Linked DNA regions of Styela clava. The protein of the gene in region 3 purifies or fractionates together with the protein of the main gene of each other region. This does not show direct contact. Links are inferred from orthologs where the notes say so. Each region holds a gene or a part of one and is shown on either strand. Other genes may lie near its edges.

What was found. Proteins that work in one complex are often made in the same cells at the same time.
Region 1: the proteins of proteasome activator complex subunit 3-like (region 3) and small ribosomal subunit protein mS34-like purify together in Homo sapiens (co-immunoprecipitation; 3 studies listed by BioGRID and IntAct, counting the BioPlex papers as one, with this or other methods). This does not show direct contact. The link is inferred for Styela clava from reciprocal best matches to the Homo sapiens genes PSME3 and MRPS34.
Region 2: the proteins of proteasome activator complex subunit 3-like (region 3) and importin subunit beta-1-like purify together in Homo sapiens (affinity purification with mass spectrometry; 3 studies listed by BioGRID and IntAct, with this or other methods). This does not show direct contact. The link is inferred for Styela clava from reciprocal best matches to the Homo sapiens genes PSME3 and KPNB1.

The regions. Positions count from the first base shown.
Region 1 is NC_135257.1:12,544,868-12,552,481, reverse strand, and holds the start of small ribosomal subunit protein mS34-like, read left to right. Parts: upstream 1-4,517; 5' UTR 4,518-4,618; coding exon 4,619-4,657; intron 4,658-4,761; coding exon 4,762-4,890; intron 4,891-4,985; coding exon 4,986-5,099; intron 5,100-5,880; coding exon 5,881-5,958; intron 5,959-6,426; coding exon 6,427-6,579; intron 6,580-6,911; coding exon 6,912-7,013; 3' UTR 7,014-7,614. Other genes in the region: uncharacterized protein LOC120345794, read left to right, coding at 1,509-1,850, 2,202-3,692. UniProt on the Homo sapiens protein: Required for mitochondrial translation, plays a role in maintaining the stability of the small ribosomal subunit and the 12S rRNA that are required for mitoribosome formation.
Region 2 is NC_135250.1:22,447,666-22,455,738, reverse strand, and holds the start of importin subunit beta-1-like, read right to left. Parts: upstream 3,098-8,073; 5' UTR 2,978-3,097; coding exon 2,935-2,977; intron 2,390-2,934; coding exon 2,250-2,389; intron 1,829-2,249; coding exon 1,727-1,828; intron 1,300-1,726; coding exon 1,099-1,299; intron 50-1,098; coding exon 1-49.
Region 3 is NC_135250.1:5,803,972-5,811,273, reverse strand, and holds proteasome activator complex subunit 3-like, read left to right. Parts: upstream 1-4,214; 5' UTR 4,215-4,265; coding exon 4,266-5,039; 3' UTR 5,040-7,143; downstream 7,144-7,302. Other genes in the region: exocyst complex component 2-like, read left to right, coding at 7,187-7,302. UniProt on the Homo sapiens protein: Subunit of the 11S REG-gamma (also called PA28-gamma) proteasome regulator, a doughnut-shaped homoheptamer which associates with the proteasome. 11S REG-gamma activates the trypsin-like catalytic subunit of the proteasome but inhibits the chymotrypsin-like and postglutamyl-preferring (PGPH) subunits.

The DNA of each region.
Region 1 (7,614 bases), on a different chromosome or scaffold from region 3:
TTGTAAATAGTGCAAATAGTTCTCTATAGACTGAGAGTTAAAAAAAAAGAACCTGTGGCAATTTATGTATTTATTCATGTGTTGTATTGGGTGGTAACTGACTCAGATGACCGTAACTGGTCGTATCGTTACCTCCCAGTCATACCGAAAACTTTTGTTTCACTTATTTTATTATTATTATATTTATTATTATTATTTTTTTTTATGGTTGACGAAATAATAAATTCTCTCTCTCCCTCTGACTTCCTTGTTTACTTCGTGACATTGGCCAATCAGCAAGATGCAAAAAGTGGCGTAACAATACTCCCTTTTCGCATCCGCTCAGACACTTTTCTCACTCAGACAGATTTTCAAGCGTGGTCGTAAACATTACCTCGTTTTCGCGTTTTTGAACTCTATTCGTTAGTTTTCTGTTGTGTTTCGGAAACTTAAATATAAATCAGATAATTCAATGATCACTCTGTCTTCTCAGGAGTTTTAATTCAATTGCAGTAATAAGAAATTAGTGTAGAAATAGCTGTAATAGACTAGGCTAAAAAAATTCACCGGTACTTTTAAAAAACAGATTGTTGTATGCGATGAATCATAATGATGGTTTGGAACACATACCCCATTTTACAGGCGCCAACTGGCGGAAGCACTCTAAAATCAGCCCCGAAAACTTTGTATTGCAGAATTTTAGGGGGGGTGAAAGGTCCATTGTGATTGCTTTTCGAACTTTTCTGGGTCAAAGGTTGATGAAATTTTCGGCGCAGTGTTTCGAATTCAGGGAGAATCCCTTCTACTGTCAGCGGCCAGGCACGCGTTTACTCCCAAGGACAAGGTTAGGTCGAGCGCACGGTACGGTACCGGTACATTACCGGTACCTATCGTGTATTACCCGGTAGGCCTACCTGTACTGTCATACCACAGTAACAGCATAGGGATGGACGCGCAAGACAGACGGATAAACACGATTTTCTTTATACCCTACCGGTAGTACGGTAACCGCCTGGCGGTATGGTACCGGTACCGGTACTGCACCAGTACAACTGCAAGGAGACCTACGATACCGGTCTTAAAATTCTATTGGCGGTCAGCCGATAGGTACCGGTACCGGTACCGGTACCGCAGGATTTCACAGTCTGACATGCGGCTTCGTACAAGACAATCACGGAATCCAGGAATCAGTGGTGGGATGTAACGTAGGTACATTAACTGTAAGTGTGCCGGTACAGCGGTACCAGTACATCAGTACTGGCAGTAAGTTATCCTTGTATCGACATTACAAATTTTAGAATTCAGTGATTTCAGATATCTTGGTACCGTACAATGCAGAATGCACTAGAGCAAAGCATTAGGTACTCTTACTAATCCTGTAATCTAAGTATTTATTTCATTATTTAACTTATTGCCATACCGGTACCGGTACTTGTATACGGTAATTGCTCATTTTTATATTCTGATAACAGAATAAAAAATATTTAGAACTGATCCTTACGGTACTGCTTTAAGACGAAGAATTCATAATGTCTGAAAACAAAGTTTTGGCAATCGAATTAGAGACTTGGGCTAAGGAACAAATGGGTTTCTCATCGATTGTGAGATCGGACAAGAGGGAGATTCAAACCGATTTGATTCCTGTCTGTAAAGGAACAGCAATGATGAGTCTTTGGAAGGATGTAATAAATGTGATAAAGTCTAAAAAATCTGCGGGTGACATTCGTAAAAACCTAATTTTAGAAAATCTTATGGCCGAAGCATTACGATCATATACAACAGTTGAAGAAAACTTGAGGGAATCTACAGCATTAGATAAAGAAATTGAATCGCTGGAACTTCAACTTCAAAGCTACAAAGAAGATTTGCAGGTGAAAATACAATGCAGACTATATTTGCAGGATATACAATTTCTAAAATACAAAAATTGAAATTGATAACTGTTTATAATGCACAGTGTGACTGTGCCTCTATAAATTCCTCTAAAAGTTGTACCGACTATTTTTTCCTTTCCAACTTTTTAGAATACCGTTTATGGATATTGACTCTGTTCTAATAGATTTCCTTTTTTCATTTTTGTTCTCTAACTCTTACTTTCTTGTAGTCATCTATTGTGATAACTTAAAAAATATCCTATGTGAGCTTATAACAACAGTATACATATTATGTGATAAGTAGGCCTATATTAAATTTGCTGATTGATTTTTTTTACATTTTCACAGGATATTGATTTGAAAGTAAAAGCAGTCAAAGATGATGTGAAGTCAAATCAGATGAAAGCTTGTTTACATCGTAATTCCAGCGGATATCTGAGGCACAAAAACTTTATGCTAAAATCTTATCAAAAATGGATTAGTGAACTTTGCGCTACTTATTTTAAGCACAATGAGGACACAGAGCCTCGATCTTGCAGTCTAGCATTGAACAAACTTTTCTCACAATTAGAAAATGACCTAAAATCAAAAGAGTTGAATTCAACTAAAAATCATGATAAAATTGATAACCAATGGTGTTTCATTCGTGAATTGATGCAAAAATTTGCTTCAGATGTGATTGCCTGTAATTTTCAGCAACTCGTAGATTCATCAACAGCCGTAATTGTTGAAGAAGAAAAAGCTATACATTTGCAGGAAGAATTGGATGGTTTAAGAGCTAAATATGGAATTGAAGACACAACTGAAAAACAAAATGCTCTAGCTACAGTTCAGAATATGCTTCAAAATTGGGAACTCGAATGCGTACAAGTTCTCACGCAGTGTTTGAATAGTGAAAGGAATGCAGAGAATATGTTGTTGCAAGCTGAAACTGAAAGAAATTACATTATTCAAAGCTTTCAAGCAGAATACAATCTTTCACCAACAATTCTACAACTATTAATTGATGACCTTGATACCAAGGTCGAGTTTGCTAGTGTTCAAGGTTGCCTTCGATCATTTCAAGCTTCTTTTGCTAGATTGCATCGTGATATTAAAATGAAAACAGATGAACATAACCAACTAATGAAGTTGAAGAATGAAATTGATGGCTTTTCTGAAAGCCTTGCTGTTCATCAAACAAATATTATTGAAATTATAAAACATAATTCAACAGTCAAGTCAAAGATACAAGAACGCCAGTCTGAAGTGATCAATGCAGCGAAAACTTGTATTATTGCGAAACGACAATGGCTTAATCAGAGTTGCACTGATTTACTATCAGTTATGCATACTTGTTGCTCCTTTTTGGGACATGCAGATGTGAATAAAATTCGGAGGATAATGTTAGATAATGCGGGTTTGACGCCACTCTGTCATTTGGGAATATATACCTCCAATAGCTTATCTTATCGAAAGTGTGGGCATTCACTGCGATTTTCCGGCCACAGAGCTCCAAGTTCATTATTGCAAAGGATTTCAGATATTAAACATGAAATTGCTCGAGCCGAGAATCTTCAGCAGGAAAATTCTGACTTTTCTTCAAACATGACTGAAAAATGTTGCCATGTGACTAATCTAGCTAAGAGAGTAGAAGGGATTTCAGAAGAAACCACTGAGTCGATTTGTAGGAAATATAAAACTGGCATGGGTGTAACTAAAGATGCATTAACTAAGACTCAAACATTAGAATCAATGATTAAATCATGGTATGAGCAGCCTGCCCAATACCAGACACCTTGGGTAACTGCTAATGGTATGACATGGGAAGAATATAGAAACAAGCTTGAAAAGCTATAAAATACAATTCTTATTTTTATGTTTTTTGATAAGCGCATGAATCTTTGAATGGTTTTCAAACAGAAAATCAGTATTTGTGTCAACCTTTAAATAATGACACATTTCATAATTTTGCTTGACTTAAAACTGAAGTACGGTAGTCAAAAATGTGGTGTGTGCTCAAAATTATTCTTTCGTATTGAACCCTGAAATTGATAGAGCTTGGTTGCATACCAAGTGTATCTATGGATTGCTGCTAAATAGTTTTTGTTGGTTTCCTCTTTGCAAATAATTGATGAATACATTTTAATCTTTTTAGTGCTTGAAGATGGATGGAGGTTATTGGGACCTCCGGAAGTATGCACACCAAGATGGCGCACAACCTGAACTCAGGTTGTGTACCAGGTCAGGGTTCAGGCTGTGTGACATCTTGGTGCGCATACTTCAGGAGTGCCGGTTATTGCTTGTATTTTTACAAATTTAGTACTTTGAGGCCTGATGATTCACCCAAAATAATTTTTCTGATTTTTTTCAATTCGAATGCAAACCTCCACACATCGTTTGTTATGATAATTCTATTACTATTCCATATGACATTCAGCACAATTCTTTTGACATTTTGCTGACATTGCGGTAACTGTAATACATAAACTGAGAGTTCCTTAAGTACTATACTTCCCACATCGCTATAGTTCCGAGACCACCTGAGTGGCAGTATCAAAATGTAATGAAGAATTGTTGGCCAGCATTATAAAATGTATTTTGGCCACATAAGCTATCATTATATTTTTCACATAGAAAAGGGACAACCCGTTTTTTAAATAAGTATAAAAACTTGCAAACAAATGTTCATTTAATATGCCGAATTGTAAATGTATCATATCTATATTTTTGTTTGTTATTTTCCACTAGGTACTAGACTATAAACACTGAAAATACTATACAAAATGAGGTATAGGGCGGCAATATTGGACAAAAGATTAATGGTGAGTCTCCTATAAGACTTGAAAAAGTTTTTTCACTTTCTAGAGCTAAGTTTTGCTTACTCAACAGCAAATGTAAAGTTTCAAATTTCATATTTTTATCTCAGGAAAGTGTGGCAAGTCAGTTTGGTATACCAGTGAATAAAATATTCAATGATCCGCGAATACCAATGCCACCAGAAAAAGCAGTAGAAGATATAAAGAATGAAAAGCTTCTGTTTCAAGTTCTTAAACAGGTTGATTTAATTTCTTATAGCTGCTGAATCATACAGAATAATTGGACCTGCAATAACTTGACAATTTGAAAATTATTCTTTATTATCATTTGTAGCTTCCAAACTGGGGAGTTGGACGGTTATTCATTTTCAAGCAAGACATGACTGGTTTTTATGATGATCCGACTTACTGGAGAATAACCAGAGTTCTTGTTGATCAAGATGATCATGTAAGTGAAATTTATTGATTTGCCAATTTTTGTTGGTTGTAGAATTTTTTTTTATCAGGAGCCGGTAATTACCTGTATCATAACAACTTGATTCGGCATGTTTATTCATTAACTTAAATATGGATGAGAGTAGGACAGGTAAAAATAAATCGATATTCAATAAATGTATCTGGCAAGTAGTAGATGGTAAATGGGGCTGGGAATTCCAGGGAAAACACTTTAACTGTTTACTGGGTAAAATTAACTGGTTAACCGCAGCGTGACGTTTGACATAATAATTTATAATTTTGGCTTGTTACGTCACAATGATTACAAAGCAATTTTGGGTGATCTTATCCTGCTATCGCTCAATTCACGAATCGAGATAGTATCGTGATTGCTCTGCTACAAGAGAGATGCAGCGTGATTCGGACATATGAAAGTGTTTTAATAAAATCTGGATCTGTTATTGTATGTCATTTATGTTACAAATTTTCAGTGTTCGACGTGCATATTCTACTTGAGAAAAATAAAGAAAAACAGCATCAACTGCACACTTGTTGGATGACATTGAATATACGATTTTGTAATACAATTGTGAACAAAATATTTTTACCGAAAACTGACTTTATCATTGTCAAATTTTTATTCAATTATTGTTCACATTTATTGGGTCCTTACCAATACAGTTAGTGTTATTCTTTAGAATTAAATGCCACAGGAGATAAATTTAAGAAATTTTCCTATGCTGCAGTGAAATATTATCGTCCAGTAGCCATTGAAAATGTTTTTGTATCAACAGGATCTGAATTTTGGCATAGCATGGGGGATATTCACATGGAAAGGTTGGTGTGAAGAATATGAAAAACAAATTCCGAGAGTGAGTAAGGTTTTGTTATTAATGAGGTTGATGTCCCGAATGCTCACCAAACATTTAAGAAATAGTATTATGGAGTTGTCCACTAATTACATGTTATATGGTATTTATCTTCTGTCTAATTTTTCCAATATTCTAACTAAGGTATTATGAATGTCTAATGTGTTTCTGCTGATTTCATTATTCTTCTAATAAATGTGTTTTTCTGATTGTGCTTTCTCCATAAATTCACACACATCCTGATTCATTTCAATGAGGAGAAATTTTAGTAGTCGTTATTATATCAGCAAAGATTCTTTTAAGTAATTTCATTTTTTAATGCTAACGCTACTGTTGCATTTGTTGTAAAGATACACATATATACAGCTCCTCATTCTCAGCTTTCAACTATTTGACTGCAGGACCACACAGACGCACTGTGTGACTTTTTTTCAGCACATCATCCACAGGGTATTTTTCTTTTATTTTTAGATAAATAGGCATGGTTGGAGACTCATTCCTAAGTTGGATGAACCCCACTTCACGAATTTTGTACCAAAATCAAAAGAAACTAAAGAAGTTCCTCTGTACTTCAGGACTCCACCTTTACTCACAGAAATGCTCAAAGCTGAAAAGTTACAAGAGGTAAGATGTAATATATATTTATTGTTGTGAAAGTGAGATGTGTGATCTTGGTGAAAATTTGTTTCAAGCATATAGGATAATTAGTAATGGTTTGAGTTTATTACTAGAAATGATTTAATATATATCCTAATATCAATCAGCCTCTTGTGATACCGTATCAATTTCGGAAATATATATAGTCGGACCACATAATCTGATTTTAGATTTTAATATTTTTATTATAAATTTTCTCATTTTGAATACTTGTTGGATAGTGGTTAATTTGAGTGGGACTTGCCTGACTCTGTAATGTACTTGGTCGTAATATTTCTAAACATTGCATTTATTAACAGAAATCACCAGATGCAAACCTGCAACCCATGATAAAACTTCTATTGGACAGAAATAGAGAATGTATTGAAAGGCAAAGATTGGATGATGGAAGTTTGGTTTGATCATTCGATACATCTATCTGGTTGTTTGTTATTGGAGAACGTGAATGCATTAGCTGATAAAGATTCTGACTTCTGGTCTAGAACCAAAAAACTGTGTGGAGTGCTGATGTCTAATCTCCCTTTGCTCCGTCCGCGAAAAGGACTTTGAGCATCCATATGATTGTTTGTTCCAAAAAAATTTTCCAAAGTAAATGTTCCAAGTTTCAAATGCATTTTCAGTTTGGACAAACACAAATCATGTTTTATGTTTATGCCCGCCTTTGTATTTCAAATTGGAAATGTTGATTGTTATGTTCAATGTATAATTTGAAGTTTTAACTGATGTTTAGCTGATGATCTATTTTCAAATCATCCTCCTGATCAAAGATACTTTGACCAGTAGTGTTGTTCTAATGATATTCAGAATTCCTAATAGTTGAATACAATTTTGGGTACTCTGAAGTATGCACTCCAAGATGTCGCACAACCTGAATCCTAACCTGGTACGCAACTTAAGTTCAGGTTCATACTTGAGGAGGTCCCAACTTTGTCCATCTGTTAGTGCATGGTGCTAAGCGTTATGAATACATTAGCAGTCGCACCTATGATTACTATACATGGG
Region 2 (8,073 bases), about 17 Mb from region 3:
CAATTGCAGTCAGGATGCCGTTTGCATGAGTAAGAAGGTGTTGTGGATCCTGACACAGAAGAAAATGATGACAAATATTATTTTGTGTTCCATCGAGAGCTAAAGAGCTATATGAGGCATGGAGTCGAGTTTGATTTGTTTTTATCAGATTTTGATTTAGTCAGAATTTGAGACATTTCTTGGTGGCGATGGAAATCAAAATTTTTACATAGAAACTCAAAAAAATTGATTTGGCGAAGCGTTCCAAACATTCGTTGTGCGAAGCGTTCCAAACATTCGTTGTGCGAAGCTTGCATACAACACAGTTTATTTTTTGAAATTTGCATTCCCTAAAAGTTTGGAGCTGTAGTTGAAAAAATGACCCACAATAAACTGTAATTTTAATTACGATATACAGATTGAAGAAAAAAAGATTTTTTCTTTTTGAGGAAATTTGCTCAAAGCACGGTTGTCACATGCATTCACTTAGGAACTGAAAGGATTGATTGCTGAGCAAAGTTACAATTGACCACTAGAAAGCGAAGAGCTGCTAAAAATATAAAAATTACATGAAGATGAACAATTAGATTACAATTAGATGAAATTACACGTTAGTATATACAAATTGGTATAAAAATACTCAATTCCACATAAATGTCTTTTCTTTTGTCTGGTATGTGCACTGATTGTAAAGTTATTAACAGCCAACCATGTTTATCGACTGAAAACATTTGAGGGAAAAATTCTGAAAGTTCAGATCATAATAATAATTGTAACACTAATTCAGCATCCTGTTATTAACCACAGCACGACTAATCATAGTATTTTGATTGTAACCTTATATATATTTCAATAAGCATATGTAATATAGACAAGATAGTGTCAGCAACGAGATATCCATGATTCAGATCTATGATGTTGTTTCAAGCAACAGAATAGTACATTTGTCAGTAGTAATAAATAGTCACCAGGAAACAGGACCACCAATATGACATGCAATAGCTTTCTCTGTGAGTCACAAGTTCTTAAACCATACAGTTGCTTACTACTAATTTGCCAACTGGGCATCATGCATTGCATGTCAGTATACAGTGCCATGAAAATATTCATTCACATTACCATATCTGCACAAATGTATCCGATAGCCTCCAGTGCTCCCTCCTTCAAATGTTCAGTGCTTGTTTCTGCAGTCACACTTTGCACAAGTTGAGGAATAAGCTCTTTCCATCCATCTAAAGGTATTTCAGCACATGCGATTGATGCAATTACTTGTGCCGCTGATGAAGGTCTGTTAGTTTCTGTGCCCAATGCTTGAAGAACCTGAGATATTACAATAAATATTAGTATTGTGTCAACTTATCATGAGTGGAAAAGACCTTATTGTGTCAACTTATCATGAGTGGAAAAGACCTTATTGTGTCAACTTATCATGAGTGGAAAAGACCTTATTGTGTCAACTTATCATGAGTGGAAAAGACCTTATTGTGTCAACTTATCATGAGTGGAAAAGACCTTATTGTGTCAACTTATCATGAGTGGAAAAGACCTGGGCCCCTTTTATTAAGAGACCCAACAACCATGTTATTCTATTTTTTTAAAAACATTCTGAAATAGCAATAAATTGATTGAACTCTATTTCATACTGCATACAGAGATCTCACACTATGCTTTCAGCACCTGAAACATTTCACATAAAAACCATCACCTCATTGGAAAATGCTTATGGTAATGTAAAGGTCATACTTACCAGTTTTTTAACTTCTGATCGAGCTGCTTCATTTAGAGACAGCCAACGTTTCTGATTATCGAGCCTGGCAGTTTGGTCTTTTGAAGTTGTATAATTTTTTATCTTGAAAACATAAATGAAGGGTGATACAATTTATGTAAATTAACAAATATCTAATCAAACTTTTTTCAGATTCAAGTTGAGAGCATTCAACTCATCTAAAACATACACTCGATGAAAGTGGATGTCAAATTGTGTAACATGTAACATTATGATGCCATGGATATTTTTGAATTAGCAGAGTAGCAATAGTGTTTAGTGTGACTGTTATATAGCATCAATCAGAAGTAAATTGTAATTCACATTCATGGCTTTGCAGATTTTGGTACATTGACGAAATGAATGTGTGCTTATGAACAGAAAAATGTGCATTCATCAATAACATCTGCGGATTGTACAATTTTGAAAACTTATTATGTGATAAGTGTGCCGCAGTTTTTTGATTTTTTAGTGCGCAGCAATCTAAAAAATATTTGACAATCACCTGCAGACCAGCAGCCATTCTCGAAACTTGGCTGTTTCCAGGGTTTGCCAAAACTTGACATAAGCTGACCAGAAATTCCGCAAGACTGCTTTGTGCGGCTTGTTCCAGAAATCCTTGTGCCTGCTTAATATCATTTGGGTCTGAAAAAGAATATGAATACAATACTTTATGAAAACCTTTATATTCTAAATTTCCCCAGGTTTTTTTTCTAAATTCTGTCACAGGTGTATATATATATAAACTATTACTATTACCAGTAAATATTAAATTTCAGAAATTTGCAAAAAAGGATAGGAATACGATTTTCATATTTGCTGCAATGAAGGATAGGTGGTAATATCGACTAATCATGTGGCGCATCCTGTACAAGTCAGATATGGAAAAAGATAACCTGTTATTTGTTTCAGATGCATGAGCTCGATAGTGGGAAAGCCGTAACTGACCAGTGGTCAAGTGAATTACACTACAGCACTACGGAAGTGAGGAGTCCAGCAATTCTCCCGGCTCCCACGTAAAACTATGAGATTCAAACATTCGAATTCACACAAGTTAATCACAGATGCGATGGAAAGCTTGTTCCTAACACAGTGAATGTTGCGCCAATCATCGAGCCATGATTTCATGAAAACGATTATTCAAAATACAAGCTTAATTAGAGAAATAATATTTATAGCAATAAAGTTACCCGGTGACACAGTCTTATCCAAGATTTCCACAAGAGTCGCCATTTTACTGAGTTTGTAAGCTTATTCTTAAAATTGAAGTTCCAGAGTTGCAAATAAACTAAAAAAAACTATGCCAGCCCTTGAAATTTACAAAATCCTATTATCCTGAAACAAAATTCTTTAGTTTTTAGCTCACAGCAGCAGAAACTCCATAAGCGAAGATTTCAATTTTTTTTGTAGGTGAAAATGCATCTACCTTTTAGTAATACCTAGGTGAGCTATTCTCAAATATATAGAAACTACTGCATAACGGGTACAAAGGCTGCTCATCAACACACAGTAGGGCACAGTTCTCAGATTTCAAGATGCTCCCACATTTGGAACAATAAAAAAAAACACTCTATTTAACTCTGATACGAGGGCATCTGGCACGACGACACGTCAGATCGTTCCATGATTGTCTCGATAATATTTTAAATCAATCTGACCAAAATTGTTCCTTTGCCAAAAACTCTTGAATGCTATGGACTATGGTAACATATTCTTCCTTTGGTAATCATAATTTTGTTTTTCGACAAATCCAATAGCAGAATAGTGACGTTTTTAGATTGCATTTCCTCTTAGTTTATTGCACAGTTGATTTGTGGCAATATAGACACCACGTAAATATATAGATGTCTCATAAAAATGGGATTCGCATTCACTGTTATAATTGATGTGTATTAATGTGAGGCTATGCTCCTGTGCTTAGAATCGGAGAGCTGTGCCATACGGCAGTAAGGTAAGCGCAGATTTGGCCTTAAAAGATTGACAAACAAGCAATATCAAAATACCGGAATATAGAGGCATTTGCGCTACAAAAGAATACATGTTCAACTTTAATTTTTGATAAAAACTTGGTTCTATATCCAGATATGCCTTCAAAAACGCTTCCCAGTGACTTCTTCCATCTTGATGAAAATTCATGAAATTTTAAATCAATTGCCTCATACAGGCAGACAGGCTTAACTTTCAAATAAAACAAAATACAGTAGGGCACACTATACAAATCGGGTGACATTGTCCCGTTTCAGAGAAACCCATTTTACCGATGATCAGACACCCCTACTTTGGGAGACGTCTGGACATTGTTGTCCCTCAATATCAGTAATAATACAGTATAATGAAGTTGCGCAAAAAAATGACAAAAACACAAACTTCAGAACTTAGTTAAACCAGGCTTGGAGCAGAAATAAACAAACAAAATACATGATTGTAATAAACTTTGGGATGTTATACTTTCAAAACACTCAAGGCTTAAGCTAATAATGACCAAGTCAATCCGATACCGGTAATGCCTCATTTCTGTATTTTAAATGTCTGGAAAGGATGAAAATATACAATTTAATTCATTACAAATTCTTGTCTAAACAATTTTGATATCAATCAATCAATTTTATTTTGGTCCCTCTGACATAGGCTAGAACAGTAGAACAAACAACAGCAAACGGAGGGCACATCCAGATCCAGAGATAGCAAAAACATCTGCATTCACCAGTTGGTCTTGCTGCCTTGTGACTCGCAAACGCTAAAACCTGTTCACAAGGCATTGTACGGTATTCTATCACATTACATAAAATAGGCGTACCTCACTCTACTAGGGCCACTCTAAATACAAGATGAATAGCACAATTTCCATGTAAAACTCAACCAGAAAGCATGACCCGGCCACAATACAAGCTTTGGTGGAGGTACTGGTACAGGAAGCCACACATCGCGCCTTATTCGAACATTTCACCACCATAGCATGACGTCATGGAATCAAAATGATTTTCCCCGAGCAGGGTAGCGTACCTAACTCAGATGCGTGATTAGGTCGTATGTGTTTGGTAAATTAGCAATGTGTATGGACGTGTATAGGAGAAAAATGTATTGCAATAAACGGGGCTTTCAAACTGAGAGCCCCGATCCCCCAGTGGGTCGCGGAAGGGCTCGATGTGGGTTGCGGTACCGGTAACAATTAATGTCGGAACCAGCCATAGTTACTTTTCTTCCTTTTTTCTCTATTTATCCTTGTAAAAAATTTACAATAACTTATGTTAAATCAAGATATCGATCAAATTTGAAAGTTTTAGAACCAGTACTGCGATCCACCATCGCGAAAATAGAGCCAATAACGAAATTTAAACCGCCCAAAAGTCTGTCATTCCATCACTAATAAAACTCTTAACCAGTAATTGTCAGTTTGGCGCCAAAGATGGGGAATCATCCATCTTGAAGGATTATTCGACCAGTACCACTTCTCCCTTGGTGCAGAAACAAATGCTACCGTAAATATATACTACAAGATGCTACTGTGGAAAAATTGAACCAAGCGCTCCTAAATATTGAGCATATTAATCGCACTGACCCTCAGTGGTTCTTAAACGATGGTGCGCGTCCCACAAGTAGGGTATAGACAATTTTTTGAGGGACGTGAAGCTAATTAAATATAAAAACATTTGTTAGATTTGATTTTGCCTGCCTTATTCTGAATATTCGCATTTCTTTATTCTGGATATTTACGTTCCATTCATGTAATTTTAACGTGTTTTTGAATAAAACATACTTTCGTCTTACTATCTGTTATTTTCAGCTTATTTTTAGCTAGTTACTTTTGAGGTGGGCGCGAGACTTGACAAATTCTCAAAAAAGAGCGCGTCTTAAAACGTTTGAGAACCACTGCACTAAGTAGCCTTAATTGCCGTAATTTTATGCCAACTAGCCCTGAAAATACGTTCCAAATTGCTTTTGCAAGCCGTTCGCAAATTTCACCAAGCATGCGATCATCTCACCATCAGTTGTTAAAAACAACGGTACGTTATGACGAAATTTCAGGCGATACTGTGGTTTTCCTCCACCAATCAACTAATTTGAATAAATTGATGCAATGAATAAGTTTAATTCACTAAAATTACAAATATTTCAATTGCGTAGTAGGAATGATCTTGGTATAGCAACAGCAAACGTGTTCAGAAAAACTCTCTGGTACAGAAATCTGCTCTCAGCAATTTTCTTCTGTACCGTCATAAATTCTGAACATATTTATTGTTATTATACATACCATTTCTTGTAATTAACACTTTACTCTATAATGAAAAAATAAATAAGAAGTTGTAGAATTATTTAGGAAGAATAATTTAGAATATGACATAGAACAGATTAAGGTTTTTGACCGTTCAGACTGTCGTCAAAAAAGGATTGTTCTCAATTTCGGTAAAAACTAATGAAAATCATAATTTTTGGTTCTCTCGTATCATTTCCACTAAAAAGTTTTAATTAATATGATATTCTCCTAATTTCGAGATAATGCAGATTTACTGTTTAGCCAGTATTTTTTATTTATTTTTTTATATATATAGAATAATTTTTATTAATAAATTATGTACAAAAATAAACACATAGACCATATATATGAAGTGATATAAATTACGCCAACCGATAAACACAAAATAAAATAAGTATTTAAATATTTTGTTTCTTCTATTAACCTATAACATAACGTAGATCAGTTGGTCTAACATTAGTTTCGATCGAACTCTATGAATTTTAATGCCAAGGAATCGACGGGCAAAAAATTTTAGTTTTACATTTCGCACATAACTGTAACTTGCTGCATTTTAACGTATAGGTGTCATCAGTTTTAAGCGTGAAAATTTGGAAAGTTTATATCATGATTCTGGGAGAAAGATGCTTTGGTAGTATATATAGAAGGAAATTACTATTAGGCTACCCCTATTTTCTTTGATTCATTTCTTTAAAAAACTAAGACGGGTCAAAGTTCAACATCGTAACAGAGTCGGTTTGTCGTCAGAAAGGGTTCGGGATCATTATCATATCGACGCACAATCAATCTATAATAAGTGTTTTGAACGATATCACACCACGTTAATGTCTACTCAGATTGTTGCAATATGTTATTCAGAGCTTTTTGCATTTCATCCACTTTAAATCCCAGAGGTCCTTTCGCACTGATATATTCTAAGCAACCGTTGTAGATAATTGCCATACGATCCGGAATCGTACCATATTGCTTCGTTGCCTCATTTTCTATTCCATCCAACACCAAAGGGCACGAAAAGTAGTCTTTAAGATTTTCTGCGGCAGACTGACGATTCTGGAGACTTTTATGAAGGGAAATGTGGTATCTGTGAATGTATACAATGTTAATTAACAAATAGAAAATAAAACAAATTTGTATGTCTATTACTGCCCCGGGTGTCGCAACCGAGAGCAATGTGTATTAAAATAACGAATTCATAATTATTGAAAACAACATATCAGCAAATTGTAGACCGTACTGTTTGCAGAGCAACCATTTTGTGTACAAGCTCTGCATTTCACCGTAAACCCTGCACTTGACAAAACTATCAAAATACATGTAAAAGAATCGTTTTCCTTGATTCTACCTGAAAGCAGTTTGAAAATGTAATTATATCTTTATCGACGTCCGGAGCGTACTTACTTCATGCTTTTCATATGCCAATTACTATCAGTGGCATGGGCTTCTTGAACGTATATTACTAAAAAATCAACTTTCGAACGATATTCCTCTATAAGAGCAGGGAGACGTTCAATCCCGCTGATAAACGGAGGTCAAGTACATGATCCAAAAATGAGGACCAGTGGGCGCCCAATGTTACTGTAGTCTAGTATCCTGGAAAGGAGAGAATGATCTCATTGAAATAGGTAACAAAAATTGTAGTTATAAGTATTGATATACTATATGGAATTAGTAAACCAATGTTTTCTAAAACATGTCCTGGTGCCAACGGAAGGACTTAACCTTTTTGCTTGTACTATGAACACATAATATAGTTTCATCCAAAAAAAAAAAATGATTGGATTTTGAATCTTGATAAAATTGATCCTAGTACTCTAATATTTTACAACTTTAGTTTATATATATATAGGAAATTCCATTTCAAATAGGAGAAATACATCTATTTTTAAAGACTCACTTCTTTTTTTCTAAAGTTTCATGATCGTAAATTGTTGAATTCGGTGCTTTTCGTCCAATCACTGCAGTTCTTTGAATGTCCAAAAGGTATTTTTTACCTACGTGTCGAAGAAAACCCAATGTGCTAAAATTGCGGTAATAAAAGTTAAGACTGTCAGTGGAGAATTGCATTGTTCTATCT
Region 3 (7,302 bases):
CAGTATGTTCATTTTCACACTAAACTGAAGGATTTATTTAGTTACCAGATGTGCGCTACGAAACTCATTTTCTGGGCGTTTTCAAGGCTTCGTCTCACGGCCCATATCCGTTGTAAGGATCTACAAGAGTTTAATAACTTACTTATACATTTTTCAATAACGTCTTAGCATAACTTAACTAATAATAACTAAACAGGGCTATGGAAAGGCTGCCCAACTCAACGCAAGCTCGAGCAGTAATAACTAATATTCATCCGCTCGCTAACAGCTGATTCGATTCAATTGTTACGTCATGCAGAAGTCATTGTTCATTGTCGAAAATGTAGAGAATATAGGACAGATCGTAGCACAGATTTTTTGTAGTAAAAGCGTCTTTTCCGTAAAACGTGCAACTTTTGGAAGTGGGAACAAGGCAATATTTGTTACTACATTTTTAAGGAACATTTTTAAATCATTTTCAGGTAGTTACCTGATGTGCGCTACGAAACTCACTTTCTAGGCGTTTTTCATGGCCTCGGCTCGCGGCCTACTATACCAGGGGTGTCAAACTCGTGCGTTTTCAAGGGCCGCATTGCATTTTGGGAATTGTGCAAAGGGCCGCAAACAGCTTTTGATATATTTTGATAATGTATACTTAAAAGCATATTTTCAGATATGTGTAGTGTGTGACATATATTGTGATGCAATTAAATAGCCGAATGAAGTTGTTATTTTCTGAAATTTTAAATGGCATTTACATAATAATTTCTTGGTATTTCACTTATTATTGCAAATTTATTTATTCCAAAAAACAATTTTTTTTTACAACTATCCAAAACATTTTTGAACAAAGATTTGATAAAAGAATAATACATAATAAAAATGACTTAATCTAAATATATACCCCTAAAAGACTAACGAATAAACTCCCATGTTTTTTTTTTTTATTATATATGTCCTGACGTTTGGCATCTTTTGTGCCACCAGCTTACTAATATCGGGCTGAATTGATTTCACAGTATCAACTCTAATTAACGAGCAGGGGCGTAGCCAGGAATTTTCAAAGAGGGGGGGGGGGGGAGCTCTGAAATTTAGGTGTGTACGAAATGTCGCACAACCTGAAGATAGTATGTGTGCCAGGTTAGGGTTCAGGTTGTGCGTCATCTTGGTACGAATACTTTCGGGGCGCCGAGTTGACAGCAAAAGGTGGTCTGGCAAGAGCAACAGGCCGGAGGCCTCAAAACGCAAGGTTTCTAAGAGAACTGAATGTTTCCCCGAGCATCAACTTCCTTGTTTACTTCGGGACATTGGCCAATCAGCAAAATGCAAAGAGTGACGTGTTTCGCATCCGCTCAGACTGATTTTCAGGCGTCGCCGTAAACATTACCACGTTTACGCGTTTTGAAATCTATTCGTTAATTTTTAGTTCTGTTTCGAATATTTAAATGTAAATCAAATAATTCAATGATCACTTTGTCTTCTTAGAAGTTTCAGTTTAACTGCAGTAATAAAAAATTAGTGTAGAAAATAGCTGCAATAGACTAGGCTAAAATTCTTCACCGGTACTTTTACAAAACAGATTGTGGAATGCTATGAATCAGAATAATGGTCTGAAGCAAAATACCCCATTTTACAGGCGCCAACTCGCAAAACCACTCTTTGAATAAGCACCAAAAATTTTGCGATGGTTAAGTATAGGAAAAAATTGATGGGGGTCAAAGGTCGGGGAAAGGTCCATAAATCGCCTTATTCAGTCACAATCACATCGCTTCTACTTGCCACGGCATCCGGAGCCATAAAGTTTCATGCGCTTATTCGGCGCGTGGCAAGTCGCGCCTATTAGTCGTCGTTTTTACACATTCCAAAAGGGGGGGGGGGGGTCGACCATTGGCATCACGTGGCATATGACCGCTTGGATTATGATTTATATATATTGATTTTTAGTAACTAGGTAGTACGATAATTATAATATAAACACATAAAAATAAATGTGCCAAATTAAACAATGTGCTTTAGAATTTTGAGAAATACAGAAATATTGCAACCCCCTTTTTTTCGAAAATGCCAATTTCTTTGTGTACATTGCGTTTCATTTAGTTCCTGAAGTGTTGTTTTTTTCAATTCTTTTTTGCTAGCTTGAAGTGTATCCATAATTGGGTCAAATTGAAAATAAAAAAATCAATTTTTCAAAACTAGTTTTTGTAAATTGTCCTTTTTGTGTGTGAATAATCAATTAGATAAAAAATACTTACAAAATAATTACAATTATTGTTAAGCGTTCGAGGGCCGCATTGGAAGTTCTCTGGGGCCGCATGTTTGACACCCCTGCCCTATACTGTAATGGTAAATACGGCTGTAATGTATTTATATGGGATCATCTCAGATCGATGGAATACAAACAGAAAGTACTACATAGTACCCATAATAAGAGTACGTTTACCACCCCCAGCCAAACTCATTGATCCAGCACATTATAAGGTCAGATATCCGCATTTAGAGATGAAGCCTAATCAAAATATCACAAACAAAATGACAACATATGTTTTGATCAAATCCTCAGCCAGTAGAGCGCTAGAACTTTATTTCAATATTCAAACATACTTTGACCAGATACATTGCCGATAAAATGTTTAGGGTAATCGTTCTGGCTTTCGTAATTTTGAAAGTAAACCGTTTCGTCTGAATAATTCGATCACAAATAATTTTATGCGCAAAAAATTATATTGTGTTGGACAAGAAATTGAAGAGTTGGTGCTTGAATAACAAACCTTAAAAACTTTAATCAGGTATTTTAAATGTTTTCTCGCGTTATTGCTTGCTTTTGGAGTTATTCCTCGGAGGGGATGTTTTCTGGTGGGAACTTTGTACAAAGGGTTCCCATCGTTTTATATAAATTGTTATTAATAGTTTCCAATATAAAAAAGTGGTGTTGACAAGCGACGTCCTATTTTCTATACTAGGATGCATTACAAGTTACATTGCATTATATTGTCACATCTATAATATGGTAAATAATGGAGGATACGTACGCTAATCACCTAAGTAGATTGGATAGTACGTTAAATTTAGATACATTTTGAGAAACTCGAGGCTATAATAAAATGCCACGGCACCAGAACATGCAATGAAATCCAAATCCAAAAAACGATGAAAATCAGAGAGATTATGCTTTCGGATCATTACGAATCACATCAGCACGACAACACTGAAAGTCGAATTGAGTGACACCAGGCTAATCATATCGGCCGCGGGAAATTCTCGTTTCTTTGACAAACGTGAACCACCCTGCGACGACGAGGAGTCTGGGACGTCTCTCGCACATAATTATCTTCACAGGATGCGCACCTGCTGACCCACACGGGGAAATCAGCGGTGCGATGCCAAATGTGATTCTAACGGTTAAACGGTTTACGATTCCGGCGCTACAAATTACTATTTAATCAGCTTGTTGCGTAGTTTTTAGGAAAGACAGCAGTATTATCTTACGACGTGCTAAGGTCTGTTTGATTTGGAGCCTCGTTACTCGCACACTACCCAGTCCGGTTATCACTTTATCACAGCTTGAAGCAAATTATCCGTGAAGAACGTTAGGTTGTTTCCGTTTTCAGTGTATATAAGACAAGTAATTATAATATTGATTCAAATCCAAAGACTGCGCTTCCCAGTTCTACGAATGACATTGGAATTTATTCTATCCGGAATTGACTCCGCGCAATACCATGAGTCACGATGGGCTAAAAAGATTTATTTTGCGAGTGGCTGTTTTCTGAAAGTTTTGAGATTTTAATTTTCATATCTCAATATAAGACGATATTACCGGTAGTGTATAGCTCCTCAGTAGTACGGGAAACCAAGAAAAATAGATAAGAATTCTCATTGATTCGTGCAAGTGCAGTGGTGACAGAGTTGGAGTTTTGGAATCGAGATAGGCTGCCGATACGTTCGTAACCGGTACCGAAAGAACATAGTTTGGTCAGTTTTTCTCAGTTCGGAAGGCTGCTGTAGTGACTACCCCTATAATTCAATAACCCTTACTCTGCCTTTACACTACCGGCTGGCCGGCACCATTTGTAAATTTTGCTACAGGCAGATAGACCACTGGCCTATAGAAACTAACAGTACTAGCGTTTTTCATGTTTTTATGTATAAGCCTTTTACTTAGGCCTACTAAAACTATTTACTGCAGTACTGTAAAAATTGCTGAATTTGATAGCAGAAGGGCTTTTTTCACATTTCCACACTCTTGTATTACAGGTATTTAACTACTAAAATATCAAAATAAAATAATGGATCAAGATTTACAAATCAAGGATAAGCAACTGAGGAAAGAAATTTCTGATTTTAAACTTGGAATCGCTAAAGATGCTGAAATTTTAGTCAATGAATTTTTTCCAAAGAAATGTATTGAACTAGATAAATTTTTAAAAGAAGATGTTTTACAGACTGAAAACGTCAGAAACATTGCACAAAAACTTGAAATTCCCATTCCAAATGCAGTTATTGTGCAAGACTTTAATAACGTTGATGGTCATGTTACGAGCCCCAAAAAACGTAAACTTGATGTAGGACCGGGAGGTGACATTGATGGTACCAAAGTATTTTCATTTGCTTGTGGTCCAGTGCCCTGCAATAAAAATCTAATAGCAATAATCGATCGAATAAAACCCGATATTCGTCTACTGATGGAAAAAGTTAATACTGTTCGAATGTGGGTGACTCATCTTATTCCAAAAATTGAAGACGGAAATAATTTTGGAGTCTCAATTCAAGAAGATACTCTTGCAGAGTTGAGACAAGTTGAAAGCGAAGCGGCTTCATTTCTAGATCAAATATCACGATATTTTGTCACAAGAGGTAAAATTATCACCAAAGTAGCAAAATATCCTCATGTTGAGGACTATCGTCGCTTTGTTGAGGAGATCGATGAGAAAGAATTTCTTAGCTTGAGACTTATAGTGTGTGAGCTGAGAAATCATTATTCCATTCTTCATGACTTGATTCTAAAGAATATCGAAAAAATCAAGAAACCGAGAAGTTCAAACATTGATGGAATGTATTAAAGTCTAAAACTTTGGCGAGAGAGTATGATATGATCCAAAAAACTATAGAAAGCCAGGATATTATTGGACTCAAGATGGCTGGTGCAAGAATTAGTTCATCCTCTGTATTTGGCGAGGCATTTTATTGAAAACATTTTTATTACGAATAAAAGTTCACCATGAAATTTTTTTAGCTTGGTAAAAAATTCATTCATCTGTTTTTATGCTTATGTGTTTTGAGCCTGTCTAATATTGTCACAATTGCTGTTTCGCATTAATTTACTATTTTATTATTTCATTCAGTCTGCCATTCTTTGTGTTTTATCTGGCTTTTATTGTGAGGGTATTTGAATAAATTATTTGACAAACTATGGAATCAGAATGATAATACGCAGGTGATGGATATACAATGATAAAAAATATTGTCCAAATTCCAGTTGCTAAATTTAGGTGTATTGTTGAATTTAGGAGGTTTTGATTGTATCTTATTTTATTATCTGGTTCAATTATTGTTAGCTCTGAGTGTTTAAATCTCGTTTTTAAGTTGTCAATTGTCTAGGATGCCCATTAAAATATATTCTAATCCGTATTTATTCATAAAGCACAACTGTTGGTAATAAATGCCTTCCCTCCCCACATGCAAAGACTTTGAAAGTGTTAAGATACTATTTTCCAATAGTTGATTGTTGTAACATTAATAAGTGAAGTATCACTTAGAAGAAGATTCCTCATACTATTTAAGACTCTGACCCCTATTAGTCAATCATTTACTGATTACCAGTTATACAAAATAAAATTTGATTTCCAAATTGTCCAAATACATAAAACCTGTATTTGTTGCAAGCCAAACCCAGTTGGATTACGACGTTATGACCATATCAAAATAAGACTCCCTGTACTATTGAGGACTCCAACCATATTAGTCAATCATTTACTAATTACTAGGTATACAATTTGATTGTTTATTATTAAATAAAATTCCAAATTTCCCAAATACATAAATTCTGTATTTGTTTTAAGCCAAACCCAGATAGCTTATGTCGCTAAGACCATATTGTCAATATTAATATTACTATACCCATTCCGATTTATAACCTTGATGGTTTTCCAATAAAGGAATCTCGTTGTTAAACTGCCTGAATCAAGGTACTACATATTCCTGATTTCAGTATATTTATACCTGTTACATCTTGTCCTCTTCGATTTTGTAAGACATGTCTGAAAAATTGGGATCTTTTGTAGAAAGCCTCTGACAAAAAAACATCCCAGCGCTCAAAATAATAAAAAATTGGTGATTATCCAATTACAATTAAAGAATGATAGAATTCATCTGTGAATTCAGAGATGTCAGGGTTAGCGAACCTACAATTACCTAAAACAGGGCAGGTGAGGGTGTTGTTTTCAAGGTGGCGAGAGCTTTCTATAAAAGGTTCAAAATTAAATTGGTAATATGGTGGGGATGGAAAAAAAGACCTATCTTTTCAAGCACCATTTTCACCAGGTCTGCACGGTCCGATCAAGTATGCAATTTTGGATTCAGGATTTATGATAAAATTTAACTCCCGCTCATGACTCCGTAGTAGAATCAAATACAAAAACATTAGTAATTGTCGTATTTACTGTTTTGTATGTATATAATTATAATGGGTTAGCATTGTATTCTGTGGTGTCTGAAACAGTCATTTTTTTCTTGTTATTTGTTCTTAGACGATTGTTTTGTAGTAGCTCCCAACCAGTGAAAAAAACATTGCTGAACAGCATACTATTTATCCAAACTGATTTACCACTGTATGTGGTTTGTACTTTATTCCATATTTGTTTAAATAAATACTGTAGAATTTCACAGCGATTATGACGCAATAATTTTACATTAATGCTGGTTGCAATTTTAGAATTGGTGATAATTTTGACGGCTTGGCGCATGTGATTTTATTATTGCGATTGTCAAGTTATGTAATGGAAGTGAACATCCTCATTAATTGAGTTCATCGTAAGTCATTATGGCACTGTTTTAAGTGAATATTCCTGTAAAAAACCTGCCATCTAATCGCGGACATGGTGGCCATTTCCGTCTGTATTTTCTTCTTTCAATGTAATGAATCAGTGATATTAATTCTTTGTACAGCCTGGTAGTTAATTAGATTTCCTGAAAGGGGTCAAGGGTCATAATGGGACCACCACCAGTTGTGACAGGAGTCTCTCCAAAATTTGGAACGCCGCTAACGAAGATCACAATTCGTGGAGAAAATCTTGGAACTAGTAAAGCTGATCTGATTGGTGTGTT